Linked DNA regions of Oryzias latipes. The protein of the gene in region 1 interacts with the protein of each later gene in a biochemical or structural test. Links are inferred from orthologs where the notes say so. Each region holds a gene or a part of one and is shown in the gene's direction. Other genes may lie near its edges.

What was found. The genes of interacting proteins can lie anywhere in the genome.
Region 2: the proteins of rab27a (region 1) and sytl1 form a complex in vitro, tested with the Homo sapiens proteins (3 studies listed by BioGRID). The link is inferred for Oryzias latipes from reciprocal best matches to the Homo sapiens genes RAB27A and SYTL1.

The regions. Positions count from the first base shown.
Region 1 is NC_019861.2:21,646,793-21,656,980, forward strand, and holds the start of rab27a (ras-related protein Rab-27A), read left to right. Parts: upstream 1-3,891; 5' UTR 3,892-4,108; intron 4,109-10,188. Other genes in the region: kinesin-like protein KIF3A, read right to left, coding at 126-137; protein PIGBOS1, read left to right, coding at 2,320-2,478. UniProt on the Homo sapiens protein: Small GTPase which cycles between active GTP-bound and inactive GDP-bound states. In its active state, binds to a variety of effector proteins to regulate homeostasis of late endocytic pathway, including endosomal positioning, maturation and secretion.
Region 2 is NC_019869.2:21,769,754-21,779,967, reverse strand, and holds the start of sytl1 (synaptotagmin-like protein 1), read left to right. Parts: upstream 1-4,959; 5' UTR 4,960-5,084; intron 5,085-6,443; 5' UTR 6,444-6,445; coding exon 6,446-6,570; intron 6,571-7,431; coding exon 7,432-7,583; intron 7,584-7,679; coding exon 7,680-7,794; intron 7,795-7,868; coding exon 7,869-7,920; intron 7,921-8,008; coding exon 8,009-8,042; intron 8,043-8,103; coding exon 8,104-8,156; intron 8,157-9,449; coding exon 9,450-9,563; intron 9,564-9,681; coding exon 9,682-9,848; intron 9,849-9,926; coding exon 9,927-10,029; intron 10,030-10,212; coding exon 10,213-10,214. Other genes in the region: cd164l2 (CD164 sialomucin-like 2 protein), read left to right, coding at 554-632, 952-1,038, 1,198-1,290, 1,381-1,419, 1,581-1,740, 1,939-1,954.

The DNA.
Region 1 (10,188 bases):
CGTGGCGACTAACCGGCATGATGAAAACGTAGTACATGTGCTATAAAGCTTATGTCACGATGACAAGAGTTATTAAAGTCTTCGTTGGTTTGACAAAAAGGCTAATTAAAATATTAATACTCAACTGCTGTGTCCATTTCGTCGATGGCTCACATCCGAAGCCTTGTTGTCAAGTCAGAGTTCTTGTGCGCATGCGTGACAGTGAAAGGACGGGATTGGTTACAGTCAATGGCAACACAGCTTTATTTCTATTTGATTAGGATGTTTTTAAAGAATATTTTTGTTGAAACTGATTGTTCTCAATATTTTGTAATAAAATAATTGAATCTGAGAGAATATATTAAAAATATTTAGTATTTAAAGACCCTACATTCTGTTTAGGGCTGCATGATATAAGGAAAACTCGCGATATGTGATATTTGAGATTAATATTGCGATAACGGTATAATTTGCGGTATATAAACAAATAACAAAATAACCAAAAACATAATTCCCATTTAATTGCAACAGTTTAAAAATTATACTCCAAATGATCCTCGTCGACATAGGTGACAAACATCTAACATAACAGACCTACATCCAATTGGTCAACAACGTGATTGATCAAATGCATAAAGGGATTTATTTGATTCGTTAAATGCTTCAAGTTACCTTGAGGTTGTATTAACACATTTAAGGTTTACGATTTATTGCGTTTTTCGCTGTCTTTTGCAATATGCATATTGCAGAGATATCGCCATAACGATAAATTTGAGGTATATTGTGCAGGCCTAATCCTGTTATTTATTAGCTATCTGCTGTTTTTAAATAGAGCTATGGTAACAAGGTAATTTCCCCTTTGTGGGATCAATAACGTTTCATTCTATTCTATTCTATTCTATTCTATTCTATTCTATTCTATTCTATTCTATACTGCTCTATTCTTAAATCCCTGAGGCTGAAAATTGTATAGGTAGCTCTTAAACATAGGTGTACTCCTGACATTCAATAAGAATGTACTTTTCATAATTTGGAAAAATTAGGAAAAATCTATTCGACTTTCCTTTTTTCAAGAATTTCGTCATTGTCTGACTTTTCTGTTCACTTTTGACTTGACAGCTCCAATAATGAATTTCATTATTATTAATCTGAAACTAATAGTTAATTAACCGCCTATTAGAGATGGAGTACTATCAGACAACAATAGTCGATTGCCTGGGTCCAACACTTTGAAGTTTTTGTTTAAACACATTTTTTCTTTCACCATGGGAATACATTGGTATTGAGCATCCGAAAAGCAGTTGGAAATTTGAATAACACATTTCAAGCTTATGATATTGTTTAAATTTCCTAATTTCATTTGTTTTAGATCTTTTGCCACAAGTGTCATAATTTAATAATAAAATAATGAGTGTCCATTTATAAGGTTTACCAAATGTGTTAATCATAAATAGACAATAACTTTAAGTTTTTGTTAAAGTATATTTAAGATCTTAGCAACCCTTAACCATTATTTGTGTGACGTCACCTTTTTTCAAGTTGTTCTTTTAATTCCCCACATGAGGGCACTCTTCGCTCCTTCAAGAGTGTTGTACCACAGCAAAAACCAGAAGAAGAATGCTCCTCTCATGTAAGTGTGCTTGCTGTGCGTTGTGGTTGCTTGTTGTTTTCATGTTTATTTGCCTTACAGAAAGACGCGCTGTCAGTTTATTTGATTTCGTATTAACTAATGCTATAGACTGTAACCTTTGTGCAAAAATACATTATGGCGGTTTTGTCTCATAAAGTACTCACAAAACGTCAAGGTTGTCAAGTTTCCCCCCCAGTTAGGACTCACTTCCGGTTTGAATTTTGAAAGTAACACCATAAAAACAAAAGTTTCACGTGTCTCATTGCTTCATCATTCATGACTTATATTATTTTAAAAACAAAACAAGGAAAACTAAAGCACTAATATTGACTCATCAGGCTTAGGTAAAGAATTTTATTCTGGTTATTTTAATTTCAAAATGGAAAGAACCATAATTTCCTCTAAAGCTAACGGGAGGACATGCAATAAAAATGTGGCATCATAACATTAGAAAAATAATTTGATTAAAAATAATAATAAATTCGTGTTTGTGGAGATACTGCTTTGGGTGTGTAAGTTTGAGGTGAAAGTTTCACTTACAACATGTTAAGGATGTGCAACATTCATCACTGTGAAGCAAATGCAAAAGAAAAAAAAAAAAAAAAACCCACCAGGAAATGATGTCTGCATAAATGTACTGATTACATCATTTTGCTTCTGTTTTTAGGATCTTCTAGTGTCTCCATTGGGATTTCTAACTGAAAAGGATCATGTTTAGGCAAAGATTGCCTTTCACGCAGTTGCTTTTGGCCACTGTGCTCGGGGTTGCGGGAGGCTTGTATATCTACAAACCTTATTTTGAGCCTGTACAGAAGATCTCAGGACAAGAAGACACAGATGTGCCGAAGAAACAGAATAAAACAGACTGAAGTAATTCATCGTGATAAAGAAATAAACAGACAAATGTTTGTGTCTTTATTTCAGCCACACTGCCTGTGTTGGACTCAAAGGCCATCATAAGATACTTTTTGAGAACGTGTGTATATTGAATAAAAATGTCTTAATTCAACATGACATGTGTAGAGCATACTTTAAGTAAATACCTTATGGCCTCTCCCTCTGCACACTTTGCAGAGATCGTCAGTCCATCACAATGAAACATAAAAGCCTCGTACTTTAACCTACTTCTACGGTCAGATAAGGATCACCGGTTCATGTGAGATTATGTGCAGAGGAATTAATGTCTTTTCTTACTAGCAATTAGCAAAACTTAGGCAAACAAGCAAAAACAAAGTATTTTTTTTTTAGCTTTACTTGTAAACACTGATATGTAATTATTAAATCTTGCAATGTTTGTACCAACACCAAACTTGAAAGAAGAATTGAAATGTTCTATCCAAGGTAAATTTTAAAGAATTTGAGTTAATATTGTTTGAAAATGTAAGCATTAAATGAATATGGCATTATAGAGATAAGCTGTTTGGATTGATAAAGAAATATACAGTTAAATGTATATAAAGTTATTTTCTCAATTTTCGTTGTGTTTTTCTAACTCTTACTATTACACTGAATCTACCATTAAGATGACAAAAAACTATAAATTTTTTTTCAAAGTAGGCAAACCCTACAAAATTAGCAATGGAACAAATACTGGATTTCTTCTACTGTATTGAAAAAAAATAATGCTATTTTAATGCGATGGTTGTATACCAGAGTGATTGCTTGTGCATTCATTATTTTAAGCTTTTATCAATACCTATCCAGTTTTCTATTAGGTACGTTGGAAGATGATGTGAATACCTGATGCATTCAATAAAACAACACAGCTATTGTTAAATGTCCCAAACCAGAGATAAAAATATTTCACCGCTTAACAAGTGTTAAATTGCTCTGTAGACTGCTATCATCCTGTTCATTGCAGTGGGTAACATTTAAGGTTGAAGAATAAAGTCATGTGCAAAGATTAATTATTATGAATTTTATTTATTTATTTGCTTTTGCTAACAACCATTTATTGGTTTAACAGCAATCACTTGTTAACAAATAATTAGTTCATAATTCATAAGAAATTTCTAATCAATTTATTTATTTTCTTTGTGTACTCCTTTACCATGGACATTTCTAAAATATTTTAGAAGGGAGATCAAGGAACCTTAGAGGTAACTAAAAAATTGCAAATTACATAAGTTTTTTTTTCATTCAGTATATCAGATTATTCAGCGTAACAATTTTATTTGTTGAATTTAAAACCAACCAATTAATATGGTTGTATTATTTATTCATCAAACTTTAACCAGTCAGATGGACTGACCCATGTGGGCCATCCTTGACGTGCTGCAGTTCCCGCCTGTACCGTCGGGAGGCGCTGTTTCTCAGCGCGGCCAGGCGGCAGTTGGTCTGAGCTCCGAGTAGATGCGGCTGCTCTCAAGTTCTCTGCTGGGCCAGAAAGGGACGCCGAAAGTCAAGAACTCCGTCATTTAGCTTCCATAAAGCCCGAAGCGGACAGTTGAGCGTTTTCTTTTTGACGACAGACAGCAGAGCAGCAACGCCCCGCGGCTGGTGAGTACTTTTTCTTTCAGGAAATGTCAAGAAATCAGCCCGTAGCATCTGTCAGAGGTTAGCAGGAAACTTTTTACTCGACTTGATGGTCTTGCTGGTATTTCTGCGCTTCCTTGAGAAACTGAAGAGCTTTGATATTTGGAAAACTTGAACCTGTTTCTCCTGAGCGGACACTTTTCTCGTTATTTTCTCAAGCAGCGAAATGACAAACCATCGTTACACCTTGCAAGCCACCAACATCTCTTCACGCAGGAGGTCATTTGACCAAACGGTCCAATTTTGAGAACAACATGTCTGAAAAAGTTTGAGAGTTTGACAGGACCCGCACTGCAGGCTAACTAAAATGTTTCCGGCGTCCCCCACATGAGGACCAGCTGAGGACCAATTGGTTTGGGATAATTGGCTGTTCAGGCCCGCATCTTTGCGTGCAAATGGATTTGGAGCGCCTCTTGTCTCACGTGTTTTTCTGTGCCTCCCTTTAAAAAAAAATAAAAAATGTACCCCCTCCCCCCAAAAAAGCACATTCACATTCTTGTTAATTATGTCACGTTGTATTTTGATAAGCTGGTGGTGCACATCCGGAACCCCCCTCCCTTGGCCGCCCACGGTGGCTCCTCCATTTATCTGTGACTTGGCTGCTACGTGGGTTCCGTCTTGCATGGGTGGGAGGGCTGGCAGCCGCGCTCGCCCCCTCCCTCTGTAAAATGAAGCAGGCAGAATAACATGAGTTTGACTAATCTTTATTTAAACATGGCTTAACATGGAAAGGATGTTACCAAGAGGTTTAAAACAACAGTTAACCACGGCAGACCAGAACCGTCAATCATTATAACTCACTTAATGGGTTTAAAATGTAAACATTGTTGGACTACAACATAATATCAAAAGTAAAGAGCACCTTTCACTTCTTAAAGACCCACTCGGATGCAAATGGTGGTTTGGTATTCTTGTGGCATTCTTCTCATGATGGAGGACATAATACATTAAGAGAATTAATATTAAAATTGCATTTCTGAGTATTATTTTATTCAAATTGTTGTGAATCAGGAGCAGATGAAAAAATGTCATTGGAAAAAGCTTTTAGGTGTGACGTAGGAGCTCCTACGGCAAGCCACAAGCTCCATTCCGATGCATCCAGTTGCAGACAAATGGATCCGTGTACGTCTTTGTTGTCCTCGTTCAAGCTGGTATCTAATTACAACTGGATGGCTCCCTGTTGCACAGGTAATGTTAGGTTGGGGGTGTAAGGGGCTGTAAGCTAGCAGGACAGAATGCAATCAGATGGATTTTGGGAAACTAGGACAGACTCAGGACTCAGCACCAACAGTTCCCAAAACTCAGAGACAAACTTCTAGTGAACTACTGCCGTCTGCTGAAACGGTCCTAGAAAATTACAGGTTTTCTGATTATGTCTTAAAATGGCATAATCATAATTAAAAGACCAATGGGACGCTTTTACCATAGATCAATAGAAAATTTGGAATGTGACTATTTTAAAATGTTAACACTTCAATTTTAAATTCTAGTTTTGCATCTGAATTCGTTTTCCTTTTTGCAATTCTTTTAAGATTGTTGAAAGATTCTTTCTAATTTTTGAGAAGCACTTTCTATAAATGAGTTCTCATCTTACAAATCTGTTGTATTTTATTGAACTTCCATTTGTCATTGGAAATAAAAATGGAATATTCCTGACCTTTGACTGAACAGTCACTTTATTCATTTAAGTAGGAGTCATCAGATGAACCCGCTGTTAAATTGATCATCGCTTTCATACTGATCAGCTGATGTCGTTTTCTGTTCGGAAATACATCAGTCAGTCTGAATTTATCTAACACTTTCCTCTGTATTTTAGCCATTTTATATCAGGAATGCTTTCTATATACTACAGGTTATTCATAATCCCCATTGATAGGCTCATTTTTGTCTTTCTAGCTTGAAAGCTGCTTGTGTAAAAAAAAAAAAAAAATCATAATTTTAAATTTTTTTCGAGCTGCAAACTAAACAAGCTAACATGCTTAGCACATGTTACCTTAACAGGAAACTCATGAGACATTTGGCCATGTTTTTCTAAAGAAAAAAACCGTCTCCGACAAACTTCCTCAATAGCTGAGAAGGTGATCCTTGCACAAGACTGTTGCCACTTTTGTATGTAGATAAACTAGTTTATTTGCTGTACAGGTTCATTCAACTGAACCAGCTTCAGGTTAGAGCAGTTTATGTATGAAAAGAATTAGGGTCTTGAGGGCCCTTCCAGCTTATAATATATCCAAATTTATGGCCTTTTTTTCTAATGTCACGTGCATCACGTCGGCCACGTCTTTGATCAGTGGAGTAGCACAAATTGGGCCATGATTGTCAAAGGAAAGCATATCTTAAGTAGCAACGGCTGCACTTCCCTTTTTGTTTTTTGCTCAGCTCTGTAAAAGATCTCATTCTGTCAGTAGAGCGTTTATTTTTCTCAGTTATGACACGACAATGAAGCGAGGCAAGATTCTTTTTCATAACTCATTTGTCACGGTGCCTTTGGAACACGTCTCATACAAAGGAAACGTCTGATTAGATTGATAATCTGCTAGAATATGCTGAGGCAGTCTTCCCTCCGACAGTGTGGTTTTGCTGTGCTGTGCTGCCGTTGTGACGTGTTTTCACCTAAGCAGAAGTACTGGACCCTGTCAATAAAGAAGATCTGAGTTTAACTAGTAGATTGATCAATAAGCTGTCAAATCAGATCCAAATGTTGATACTTTAATTCACGTGAAGTTGTTGAGATTTCCATTTTTCTGTCTGCTGCTTCACTGTTTATTACCAATACTACCAACTAGATTTTAACAGTGTGATGTTATTCAAATAGGTATTACACTCATAATACTAGTTTCAGGTGACAATTTTCTATTCACTAAAATGACAAGGTGTGAAAAGTTCTCCTGCCTGAAAATAAATCCCATTCAAAACTCATCTTCATGCAGCAACTATTGTTTTATACAGGATTATTTTTTGTTTTTTGTTTTTCTGACTTTTAGGGTTTTCTCTTTTTTCTTGTTTCTTTGACTGCTTTCTTTAAAATGCTATACATTTGTCAGTATATGCAACAGTTTAAAGTCCCACTCCCATCATCTTTTGATCTATTGTAAAAGCATGCCCAGTGGTCTTTTAGTTATGATTTTGCCATTTGCAGCCAAAACCTAAAAACGTGTCGTTTTTCAGGACATGTTTCCTGCAGAGCCGCTGGAATTCATTAGAAATTTGTCTCTGAGTTGTGGGCGGGACTGTTTGCACCGAGCAACTCCGCTCCCCTTCCCCTCCCCGTTGCTAAGAGCTCATAGCAGGGAGCTTGTGGTCCGCCCAGTGTTTTCTACATCACAAAAATGTTTTTTTTTTTTAAACAGCCTTTTTTCATTCGCTCCTGATTCACAACAATTTGAAGTAGGCGAGGGTCATTTTAGAGAATCATTTAAGTTATGTTGACTGTTATTTAAAACAAACTGTTGCAGTGAAATGTAGATGATGTTTTTGGATGTTATGCTATTTTTTTCATGTATCATAAGTTACATCGTCATTGAAATATTGATCATTATTATCACAAATTGCGAGTTTTCCTCATATCGGGCAGCCCTGATTTTAATAAAGAAATACTCAGAAATTTAAGTTTGAGCCTAATTTTGGCTATGAGTCTTCCAAATGCCATAAGAACATGTTAAAAACTCCAAAACAGGATTTTCTACAGAGTGGAGCTTTAATGAATAATATGGGTCTTGCTGCCAAATGACTAAATTGATTTGATTTTGTTTAACAATTGGTTTAATTCAGTTTCCAACTCTGTAGGATTAAATTAAACAGATTTTTTCCCGAACTTTATATCAATTTTAATAAAACTTTTTTTGTTTTTGTTAGATTATTAAAAAAACTGAGCTACATTTACAAGAACTAAAAAAATAAATTAAATACTAACAGAAAATCTTTTTTTTTTCTGCCTAAAAACACCATAAATAACGGATAAAAGAAAATGATTTCATGGATGTCATGAATCAATGTTATATTGTCAAAGTGCAAATTGATAAAACTTTTTCTTTTAATTCCAAAACATATTTACTGTGCTGTTTTTAGTTTGACCGGCTTTATTTAGCAAAAATGTCTAAGTTGTGGAATAAACCTGAATGTGAAATAGCTGTGGTGACATTTCCTGTTCCTGACAACAGATTTTTGGGTTGATCCACAGGAGAAGTTTTAGTTTAAAAAAAAAAAGTCTTTAAATATCCTAAACAAATAGAAATGAGTCTCAAACCTCTAAATGGGATTTCATGAAATGCTCTTCAATTCAGTTTTGTTGGCAGCCATGTTGGGTTCAGTGGGGAGGAATTGATTCATGTCATCAGGAAAGTCCTGTGGAGTGGGTTAGTCATCGTAGTTGGCATCACATCAGAGCTTTCCCATAACAGACTCCTACATTGACTGTAAGAGGACTGAAACTCGTTTGTGTGGTGATGTCTTGCTTGTAAGCGATTGCATCGTGGTGCAGTATTAACGTTATTGGTGCAAACTCCACGGGTTTGCATTGCGGCTAAACAAAGTCAAGTTTTGTGTCGAGATGGGACCTCACCTCTTTGCGGGGGTTATACTGTGAATAGAAACAGCTTAGACGTTATTACAAATAAATATACTGCCTAAGGTAGGAATGGGGTTTATAAAAATGAACGTGCTGATGAAATTCAATTGGAAAATTCAATATTCACTCATAAATCTTCTTTTATCTGGCAAATACAGATTTTCAGTTAGTTTATTGATTTACAATTTTATCAATGTAAGCATTCGTTCAATAGATCACTGACAAATCAAATCCTGAAAGAAAAGTTGAATCATGAATTTGTAAACCAAAGTGAATTGTCGAGATTCAGTAGTTTGGCTGGGATATTTTGGGACGTGGAACAGCCAGAAGTGGGCGGAGCCATGTTTGACCTAACTTTGCTGCATTCAGTCAATGGCTGCAAAGGACAGAGTGTTTGTTTTCCAGCAGTCTTCGCCCTACTTACTGCTGATCACCTGGATCAGGTGTGTTCTGCCATGAAGACGCTGCAAGTGAAGGCAGGGGGGGGGGGGGGGGCTTAATGGGATTCTTCTGAAGTATGCAGTATGAACTATGTGACAGATTTATATAAAATTAAACTAACAAAACACCTTTAACTTTTTAAGGCTGAATGTGTTGTAGAGCTCACTTAGCCTTGTATGCAAGAAAAGCTGTGCAGTGGAGCAAATGAAACGTTTTTGAAAACATTAAAAGAAAATCTGGAAAATTCAAAACTGATGATTAGAAATGCTTTTACACTAGAAGTGAATCACATTGGAGATAAATGCCTGTTAGAAGAGCTTTGTTGATGCCAAACTTGATCCAACTTTTAATCTTTATTGAATCAAAACAGGTTTGTCTGCAGAGATGCAAATCTTGCAGTTGTGGGATTTGCACGTTGTAACTTTCTGTTTATGGCGCCGTGAAGCTTGCTGCCATGACTTCCAGCACATTTTTCATGGATCTGGATTCTGCATGAAACCCCAATCCGCTTATAGTTCTCGATGAAAGGTTAGGGGGCGAGACAGGAATGCAGGGCTTGTCTGGCTCTGGTCAGCACCAACCATGTGATTTGGCTTTGCTGCTTTTTTTAGGTTTTTCCTGCAGTTATTGAAGCATTGCAAAAAGTTACATCAAGTGTTTCATATTTCCTTGAGTTAGTCACAGCCTTGTGATGCTTTACATTTTGTTCAGGCAGATTTAAATCCATTCTTAATCCATAATACCTAAAAGTTTGAATGTAAAGCTTGGCATGTTGCAGTAAACTGAGATGTGTTGTTTTTTTTCATTCGTTTATTAATATTATTTAAAAGAGGATTAGTGTTTCCTCAGGCAATGATTGTGCAAAATATTTCCACACATTTTTGTTCTCTGTCATTTTAAAGAAGTCCTTTTTATGAAGCTGCTGCTCCTCTTTCCTCTCAAAGTGCTACATCTGCCTGTAGAATTACAAGAGAATGTTTTTTTCTATTTTAAAGTATTTAGAAAAGGCTGGAATAACAAATGGAAATCTTTACCA
Region 2 (10,214 bases), on another chromosome or scaffold:
TGAATTAGAAATAATGTGTCTGTCCAAATATTTATGGTCCTGACTGTAGTTGATATAGTGAAAAATCTCTTACAAGGTTCATTTAAAAAATTCTTCCAAATTTTTTGTAAAACGTGGGGTGTTGAGTAAATATCTGGTAGTAATCACGTGACCATTAGAAAGTATCTCCTTTTTGGCTTCTGGTGTTTATGGAGTTTGTGGGAACATAAATGCAAGTGTGTGTGTGTGTGTGTGTGTGTGTGTCTGTGTGTGTGGATGCACTGCATGCTGAGGTGAACAGGTGTCCTTCTCTTTAAACCGGTGTGTGTTTCAGGAGGGTTGAGTTTGACTAGTTGGTTGCCAGGGAACCCAGTTTGGTCTTGCTCGTGTTACAGAGATCTTCGGTCTGAGTCTCTTCTTTGCTCCTTTTCTTGAAGGCACCCACATCTCCACTGGCAAACTTTTTGAATACCTGGGTATTTTTGGAATTTTTAAACCCTCTTATTAACTGATTTCCTGTTCTAAGAAGTTTCCAGGTGTCCTTTGCAGGTGCTGGGGCTCTGCAATTGTCAGGATGCGACCATTGGCTCTGAGGGTCCTGTGCTCTGCCTTACTGCTTCTAACAGTGGTTCCCTCTGTGTGCTCACAGTCAGGTATTGTTCCTTTTTTTATCACACCCTTTTCCTTTTCTACACTGAGAACTTTTCTGTTTTATCGTGATTCATGTTTCTGCACTTCGACAAAAGCCAATCAGATTTGTCATCTGCTGTTGCAATGGCACCTATTTTCTTCATTTTCATGTAAAAAAATCTCGATTTTAAAACTAAAAAAAAAAAAAGAACAGGAGTGTCATCTCAAAATATTGCCCCGTACTACATTTGTCAGTCTTGAAAAATGTCTTACAATAAGGGTGAGGTGGTTAAATATATACATTTCCAAATGCTGCCTACTGACTTCAGTTTTGTCCCACAGATTGTTCTCAAGCAGATTCATGTGACCTGTGTGTGGGAGACTCCATGCTTAACCTGACCGGCTGCGTCTGGAGACTTTGCCCAAATGGTGACCCACACACAGCTTACCCCTGATAGTAATTCAATCATCGCAGCTGCTGTAACTGTAGCTCCCCTCATTTGTAGCAAATGATTGAATTATTTAGTTCTGTATACCAGGAAACCACATAGGTGCATACTCAAATGCGTTTTTTTCCCCCCATCCCAGGTAATGATACAGGTACATGTGTGGCTGATGGCGGTGATTCAGCTGACATGGGCATGAACTGTAGTTGGACCAGAGTCTCTGAACTCTGTGCAGGTATCAAAATAGACAACAAAACCAAAAAAAACAGATTGAAAAAAGGGTATTCAAGTTTCTTTGTTTTAACCTATTTTTATGTTTACCCAGTTATAGAAAACGTTGCAACTGGTGGCGAAGGTGACGCAGGTAACTTATATCCTCAACCACCTTCCCTCCCTTCTGTTTCGCATCAAACGTTAATTTCCATAACAGCTGAGCAAAGTGTATGAGAAAAGTGGATCCTTTCTTTAACACCTCATCCACTTATGTAACCATGGTGTGAACCCACTGAACTGTCTTTTGTTAAGGTGATGCTTCGGACACCACCTCATCCCCTGAGTTCTCCCAGGCTAAGTTCGACATGTCCAGCTTCGTAGGAGGAATCGTACTTGTGCTGTGCCTGCAGGCAGGCGGCTTCTTTGCCATGCGCTTCCTCAAATCCAAAGAGCAGAGCAACTATGATCCAATGTGAGTTTGAGCATGGAGGTGTTACACAACTCTCATGTCTGCAGCAGCTACCAGCAGCCTCTGGTGGCTAGAATGATCAATGGCACACAACATGCTGCTCAGAAAAAAAAATTTTGTTTGCATTTTAACCTCAGATTGTCTATTAAGTCTAATCACAAATCCATTTAGTGCTTTTGCTGTCTGTGTCTTTCTGCGCAGAGAGCAGCCCCAGTGAAGATGAGACGCACAAAGGACAATCAGACAAGGATGAAGGACTGCAGACGCAGAGCAGTGACTCATCAAGTTACCACCAGATTTGTACACCTCTTTTAGCTGCTGTTAGCTCCCTATATAATAGGCAGATGTTCTAAATGTTTCTTAGGATGCTGCCGGCGGTCACACACCTGTAAGCATTTGTACAAAATACACAGAGACTGTGGTATGGTGATAATTTTGGCATCACTTCTGTAGGATAGGATTGCATGACCCCTGAAGAATAGAAACATAAATCATGAGAGTTTGTTTTTTAGAATTGCCTTCAAAAATCCAACAACAAAGTGGTTTAAAATATTCCCCTGAAAAAAAAATCGATAATTCCAGCCTTTTTGCTTGAGAGAAACATTGCAATATTTCAGATGTTTATTCAAATAAATGTCCTTTTGTGTTTCTGAAATTCCTCCTGTTAACTCATAGAAGTTAATTTCATGTGTAATATATTAATTTGACAAAAAATTTAAAAAATATATCATAAATGGAAAGCTTTAAAATTTTTGCAGTGAAAAATCCTGTTAAAATATCTTTTAGATTTGTTTTTTTCCCCCTACTTTTCTGTAATCATTGGAAAAAAACATGCACTTCTTCTTCCTCCAATGTTTAGTTTGATTGGTACTTGATTTGTTTTGTTTCTGCAGTGTCATTTATCAATCCAGCTAAAATTGAGTTTGTTAAGTGATCTTGTCTGGCATGAAGCAAAACAAGCCCAAACCATGATGCCACCACTTTTACACATGTGATGTTTTTTAACCCTTGTGCTACCCTAGGCACTGTCACGTTGGGTGTTGGGTCATCTAGACCCACTAGACAATGTGTTGAACCTTTTTCTTCAATGATTTGTGATCTTCACTGGTGTCCATGGATTACATGAAATCTTTCCACCTTTATGTTTTTGTCCTGGTAGGGAGAAGACGTCAATGTAAGGATCGGGTCATCTAAGATAGCACAAGGGTTAACGCTGGACTGCCCTTTTTCGTCTTTGGGTTTCAAAGTTTAACTAAAAAATGACTTTATGGCTAAAAATGTTTTAAAACATTTTAAGTAACTACTGTGTCTCTTCTTGAACATCTGTCATGCACAGCATTCGCTGTTTGATGTAAACAATAAAATTCTTTACGTGCTTTTATGCGATCATGGGTCCTTTTGTGAAAAGGTGATACTCTGATATTTAATTTAAATTACTGTGGTTTAAAACACCCTGCATGATCATGGCTATGTAAAGTTGAAAATATTTAATCAGGGGGTGGAAAAGTCCCTCCAGCCAAGTGAAAGTCAAAAACCAGCATTGTCATATGGAAACCTCCTTTATTTAGAGCATTTAGACATCTACTGTTAAGAGCTGAACATGTGACTGCATCAATCCATGCTATATATTTTAAATTTTTAAGTTGCATGACTCAAGAAAAAGAAGAAAATGTTTAACTTTATAAATATGGATCAAATTAAGAGGAGCTAAAGAACAAAAACAACATTCAAAAGGCTTAACCCTTGTGCTATCTTAGATGACTCCACCCTTACATTGCCGTGTTCTCCCTACCATGACAAAGGTGGATAAAGGTAGAAAGATTTCATGTAATCCATGGACAGCAGTGAAGATCACAAATCATTGAAGAAAAAAGGTTAGATTTGGGATTAGGATAGCACAAGGGTTAATTTGCCATCAAGGGGATTTCAACCATGATTATTTCCTGACATCTTACTGAAAACCTTTGGATGAGTATTTTCCCACTGTTCAGTGCTGCTGTTCCCTCTCATAGGTGCGGGTTGTATTCGTAATCCTTGTGCTATCCTAGGCCCTTTAACATTGGGAGTTGGGTCATCCAGACCCACTAGACAATGTGTTGAACCTTTTTTCTTCAATGATTTGTGATCCTCACTGGTGTCCATGGATTACATGAAATCTTTCCACCTTTATCCACCTTTGTCATGGTAGGGACAATATGTCTAAGGGTGGGGTCATCTAAGATAGCACAAGGGTTAAAAGATGTTCATAATTGCTCCACAGATATGTTAGTTTATCATGGGTGTTTAGAAATACTTTGTTTTTTATTGCTCATATTTATGTTGGATTTTTCAGGTTCAACCCTGTGATTTAGAACTTTATACAGAAATGATGGTGCTGTGTAATCCTGTTTTTGGCAAACATTCCAAACAGTTTGCATTTTCCTAACGTCCCATTGCTTGAACAAACAGCTTTTCACTATGTAATGTGAGCCCCTTGCATTTAAATTAGGAGCAGCCAATGCCATAACACATCTAACAGGTTTCAAGCAAACTAGGAAAAGAAGAGATCAGAATTCTAGTACGGACACACCTCAGACTTCTTACATTTAAATGTGGCTGTAAATATGAGTCGTGACCCAAACAGAGCTTGGCGGCCTAGAGGAGCAGCAGTGGCTGGTCTCCCAGGATCTACAGGCATGAATAAGCCCACACAAAAACGTTTCCCCAGCTGAGCAGAGCGTGGCCGTCATCCAAGTTTGTTGACAAAGGACAGAGCTGAATTCTGCTCCCCTCCCGCCCACTGATGCACAAACACCTAAACGCAGAGTGAAAGGAAGGGGAAGCACAAATTCTAGTGCACACTGGTTAATATGCTACTGGGAGTTCTCCCTCCTTTAAAGCAAGCAGAGTCGCTCCCATGTGCAGATATACTGTATGTGTGTGTACAGTACAGGACATGGTGTTTGTTTAGCAGGCGTGGATAGAATCAAATCCCACCTCCACCCTGCCTTCTTCGTAAAAAAAAAAAAAAAAACATCCGTGTGTGTGTGTGTTATTCAGAAAAATGTGTCATTCAAGTATCACGTGATTTCTTCAAATGCTCGATGAAGTGTTCATGTTGACATGAGTTTGTTTGGTGCCTTTTAAATGATAAGAAGCTGGATTCTGCCTGAAGTCAAAACTTCCAACAAGGTGAGAATTCGTCCGGAGGCGACATGTGACCACAAGTACGCACGCGCAAAGACGGTGCGTGTCTTTTAGTGGCTCCCATAGACCGACCTTTTTGTTTGTGGGGCGTGTTCTCTCAACTCACGCGAACACTTCACGAAACTTCTCTCTAATGGATCTAGGAGAAGCGGTCATGTAAGGTAATAAATGCGCATTTTCTTATGTTTTCCAAAAGAATAACTTGATTAAAAGCCGTGTTTTTAAGAGAGAAACGTGAGGGCGGCAGGTGTTCTTTTTCTCTTTCAGGCAGGTTCATCTGAGTCTTGCAATCTCATTTTTTGCTGAAATGACCATGAAGTTAATTGTAAATTTTTCCCATTTTTTAAACTTTGCAAATATCTATATTTAAAAATATGTTTTGAAAAAAAATCCCCTCCTAAGTTGTTGTACCGCTGTCAAGTAAGTCAAAAACAATACTTAAATATTGTTTGATTTTGGAAAGCTGAAGTATTCGTGTGTGTGGTTACTCACTGTAACAGTAAACTGATTTGCACATGCGTCTGTTTCAGGGTCTCTTACTGGACATTTGCTACACAAATTTAGTGACAAACAGCTTTTTAGGTGGGTTTTGGCCTCCAGCTGGAGCTGGAGCTTCCAAATAGTCACGTGACAAGGCTCTTGTTTATTTTCTTGGCTAGGAGATAAGAGGACGATGTGCAGATAAGTGAAGGAAAAAAATCACTAGCTATTCAGAATGTTGTTGTCTTTTACTTCATATGATAACGTTCTCATAAGTACTGTTTTTTAAAATAACTTATTTTTGAACTCATTTGAACATAATGTGCCCAGAAATGAGGGAAACCCCCAAATTCTGGACATTTCTTGGACAAAAATGGGACACACTTCCTTTAAGCTTTGTTCATTCAGGGCCATTTGTTTAAATTAAAAGTTTTGACTTCTTTAGGGCAATTTTTCTCCATCACATTTGGAAAATACCTGTTGTTCTGTTGTTATAACTTAGTGATTGAGATGATTTCAAAACTTGCAATGCATTCTTTTAAGTGGTTTTTTGGTGATTTCTAGAATAAGGCTGGGATTTGCAGGCTTTTTTAGTCTTCTGTCAGACATAATCATTTTGCCTAAAACCACATAAGCGTCATCTATAAAATACCTTTCCGTTGAAGTATGTAAAACAGCTAGAGAAACAAAAGGATTCTCTGTTACCTCATGCATTTTGTCCGTGGCAACTTTCAATTCAAAAGTTTTTCTACAGAGAATATATGCCTGAAAAAATTAAAAAAGATAAAAAGTTAAAAAGAAAAAATATTAATTGTAGAAAATCTTTTGGTAAAACATAAATGAAAAAAATATTGTTTGACCATTTATGATGTTAATTTTTCCATTAATTTATTTAAAAGATCTAAAGTACCCCCTGGAGAACATTTGAGAATCCTTGATTTAGGTATAAAAAATCTGTCAAAACTTTTAAAAACCTATCCATTTTTTCCACTTTGGTGCAACCTAAGACCAATATATTACCATATATAACCCTCTGTTAGGGATGGCGGGGGAACGAGTCAATTCATCTCTCGATCTGAGCCACCTGACCGAGGACGAGAAGACCTCCATCCTTCAGGTCCTGCAGCGCGACCTGGAGCTGCGTAATCGTGACGAGGGCCGTGTGAGGTCAGTTAGAGGTGACTTTCGTATTCGCTACAGAGAGGAACGGGTTCACTGTAAAAGAGCTTTTGGTTCTTTCATGGTTGATGATGTGAAAAAAGGGGCTGCACGGTGGTGCAGTGGTTAGCGCTCTTACCTCACAGCAAGAAGGCCCCTGGTTAAAGTCCCAGCTGGGACCTGAAACAGAACATCAATGGGGGACCTTTCTGTGTGCAGTTTGCATGTTCTCCCCGTGCATGCATGGGTTCTCTCCAGGGTCTCTGGCTTCCTACCACCGTCCAAAAACATGCTTCATAGGTCAACTCTAAATTGTCCCTAGGTGTGAATGTGTGTGTGATTGTGACCCTGCGACAGACTGGCAACCTGCCCAGGGTGACCCCTGCCTTCACCCACAAGTGGCCAGGATAGACTCTGGCAGCCCTGTGACCCCAAAAGGGATAAAACAGCAGAAGACAAATGATGTGAAAAATCCCAATGTTTTCTCCATATTTGTTTACCTTCTGTAAATTTGAAAATCCTCACCTTAAAATTTAAAGATAAACTTTTGAAGCAAATATGAAAAATATTTCATTAACACATTAATGCATTTTAAGGAGAATGAGATCAGTTCTGTAGAAACATATATGTAAGATTTTAGCTAAATATTTTAAAATATCATTTATTTTAGCTTTTTCGTGAAACTGTTTTGTGAAACTGAGTTATCACTATAGTTTTGGTCAATTGGTGGATTTCTAAGATCAAATATCAAATATAACATTTACAATATGTCTGGTACTTTTTTATTCACCTAAAATATTAAGATATGACGTGACATTGACTAATTCTGGAATAACCCTGAATCCCACTGTTTGTCTTTCAATGCTGCAGGATCCTGGAGCAGACAGGGACAAACCCATCTTTTCTGCGGCTGCTGTCCGGGCGCTGGTTTAAGGAGGAGTGCAGCAAGCGCCATAACAGCTGGACGTCGGGCAGCGACCTCATCCGGGCCTCCATACGCCACAGAAAGACAAAGAGCAGAGGTCAGGTTCCAGTAAATGCGCTCGCCTGCCGAGCCGTGTTACGGCTGTTGTGGGGAAACCTCAGCAATGGTTCTGTGGCTGTTGCCATGGCAACAGATGTATCTCTGCAGGAACTGTTTGATGGAGAAAGACGGGAATCTGTTGCTGGCAGCGGTTCTCTGGAGGCAAAGGGGAGACCGAAGGACTGCAAAGACAAGGAGCAGGATGAAGGGTGGGTATCTGTCACAATCAGACCACTAATGCGACATTTGAAAATTTGATTCAGCTTCTCTTCTGTTCTTTCAGGCCTCATGGAAACTCGGCACACACAGCCAGACATCAAATTCCTGGCATGCAGGTGTGTGTGAAAAATCTTGTGTTTGTTTCCCATCCTTTCAAGTGTACTCAACCATCTTAATACACCAATCAATGATCTTCAACTACAGGAGAACAGCAGTATTAATACCTCACACTCCAAAGGTATGAACGTGTCTTTCCTGATATCTTTGCTTGCGACTCTTTTTACATAATAAACATGTAGCTGTGCCAATAGGATATGAAAGGAGAAGTAATGGCCACCCAGGGAAATACGAGGTGATCACGACGCACGCACAGACCAACACCCCCCCCCCCCCACACACACACACACACACAGGATCTTAACTAATGGTTTGGCAAACATCTACTCTGAGTGCCACCCTTGGGCCACAAGCTCTAACCAAATATTTGACATTATGCAAGAGGAGGATTCATTCAAACCTGTTTTCGCTCAATGCGTTACATTATTATGCTTCAGTTTCATGTTCATCAGATGTACCCAGCTCACTGGATAGAAATAACCAAACCTTAAAGTTTGAGGAACTCCGTAAACAATCTGTCTAGAAAAAAAAATACATCAATGAGGGAAAGAGATATAAAATCATATCTTAGGAACATTTTCTTCCTAGAAGAAGGTTGAAAACAGATTTGGTTTTGCAGCCAAAATGATCAAGAAGGAAATCTAAATCTTTATGCATCTTCTGCAGAGGTGGGTGAAAAAAATGAAGCTGCAAGCAGCACTGAAAGGAGCTGAAGCCCAAAGAAAAATGCAAGCTCCCTTTTTCTAAAGCTGCATTGTTGAACTGATGGTGTGCTCTCCAAAGGCTCACTTGTAATTAGCAAGAACGCTGATTAAAACACGAGCGTTGTTTTTTTCCAAATGCAAGGGGAGCGATCTGAAACTGTTTTCTGATTCTGCAAGAGTAGCTGCAGATCAAGTCAAATTTTTTGGAAATTTTGTCCAAATGAGTGTGATATTATGGAGATATTACTTTTACCTTTGTAATTTTATCTTTGTTTCTCAGAAAAGCTGCCAAAAATCTTCTACAATTTATGACGTTGTTCACATTTTAATGTGTTATGAATCCAGTGTTTATTAAAGTTCAAAAAGAAATGTGCATGACTAAAAACATTGATTTGTGTATCTAAAGTGCAGATTGGGACTCCAAATATTTTCTTTGGACCTCAGGCTAACTCCAACTGACCTTTATCAGTTTATTGGAGAGCATCTGCTGGACCAGAAAAAAGAAAATAATAGAAAGCAAACACTAAACCACATAAATACCTCTGCAGAATCAGTTAAAGCAGCTGCTTCTCCCCAAAAGCCACGAAGTGCATACAATATATTTATTGATAAATATATAAATTGAGAGATTGTTTATGGTTTTGTATAATTAGTATTCTGAATCATTGTGCTTTATTAATTCATAATACGCATACAATTTAAAATAAAGAAAAAAATAAAAGTACATCTTATCATTTCTCAAATGACTACATATGTTTGTTCAATTAAATGGCTTTTTCTGAGTGAACATATGTGAGTACAGTTGTGTGTTTGTTTGAGTGCAGGAAGATTTGAGTCACAACAGGGACCCAAACTCTCTGAGCATCAGCCTGACAGAACAAGATCCATCCTCCCTGAATACCAAGAGCTCCACCAACAGCCTTCAGTCGAGCTACACGGTACACACACGAACGCGCATGCACGCACACACATTTGTCAAATCCACTGTCTGGCGACGCAAGATGACTCAGCTCTGGACACTGACGCAGGAGCTGATCTTTGCTGTTTGTGTTACAGCTCAGTGGGAGCATGATGAGTCTGTTCAGCTCGGGGGATTTCGGGGTGGTGGAGGTGAGGGGCCGCATCCAGTACTCATTGGTTTACGACGATCACAAGGAGGAGCTCCAAGTGAAGGTGTACTGCTGCGAGGACATCGCCTCGGCGCGCAGGAACCGCTCTGATCCGTGAGTGAAAGGGTGTGCGTGAAACTGGCAGCGTCCCTCAGATCCACTCCGTGAAAATGGTGCTTGTTCATTTCACAGATACGTAAAGACTTATCTCCTGCCAGACAAGTCCCATCACAGTAAGAAGAAGACTTCGGTGAAGAAGAAGACACTGAACCCAGTCTATGACCAGACCCTCAGAGTGAGAGCATCCCGTTTGCATGTTGCATAAAACATTAGCATTTGTCGTTTATCTTTCAGCTCTGTGGCTGTCATCGCAGTGATTAGTCATGCATATTGAAAAAAAAACAACACAGCTACTATTCACCTTTTATGTCTCATAACTCAAGGTCATTGGAGTCTTTCTTTTTCTGCACTCTTCAAGTA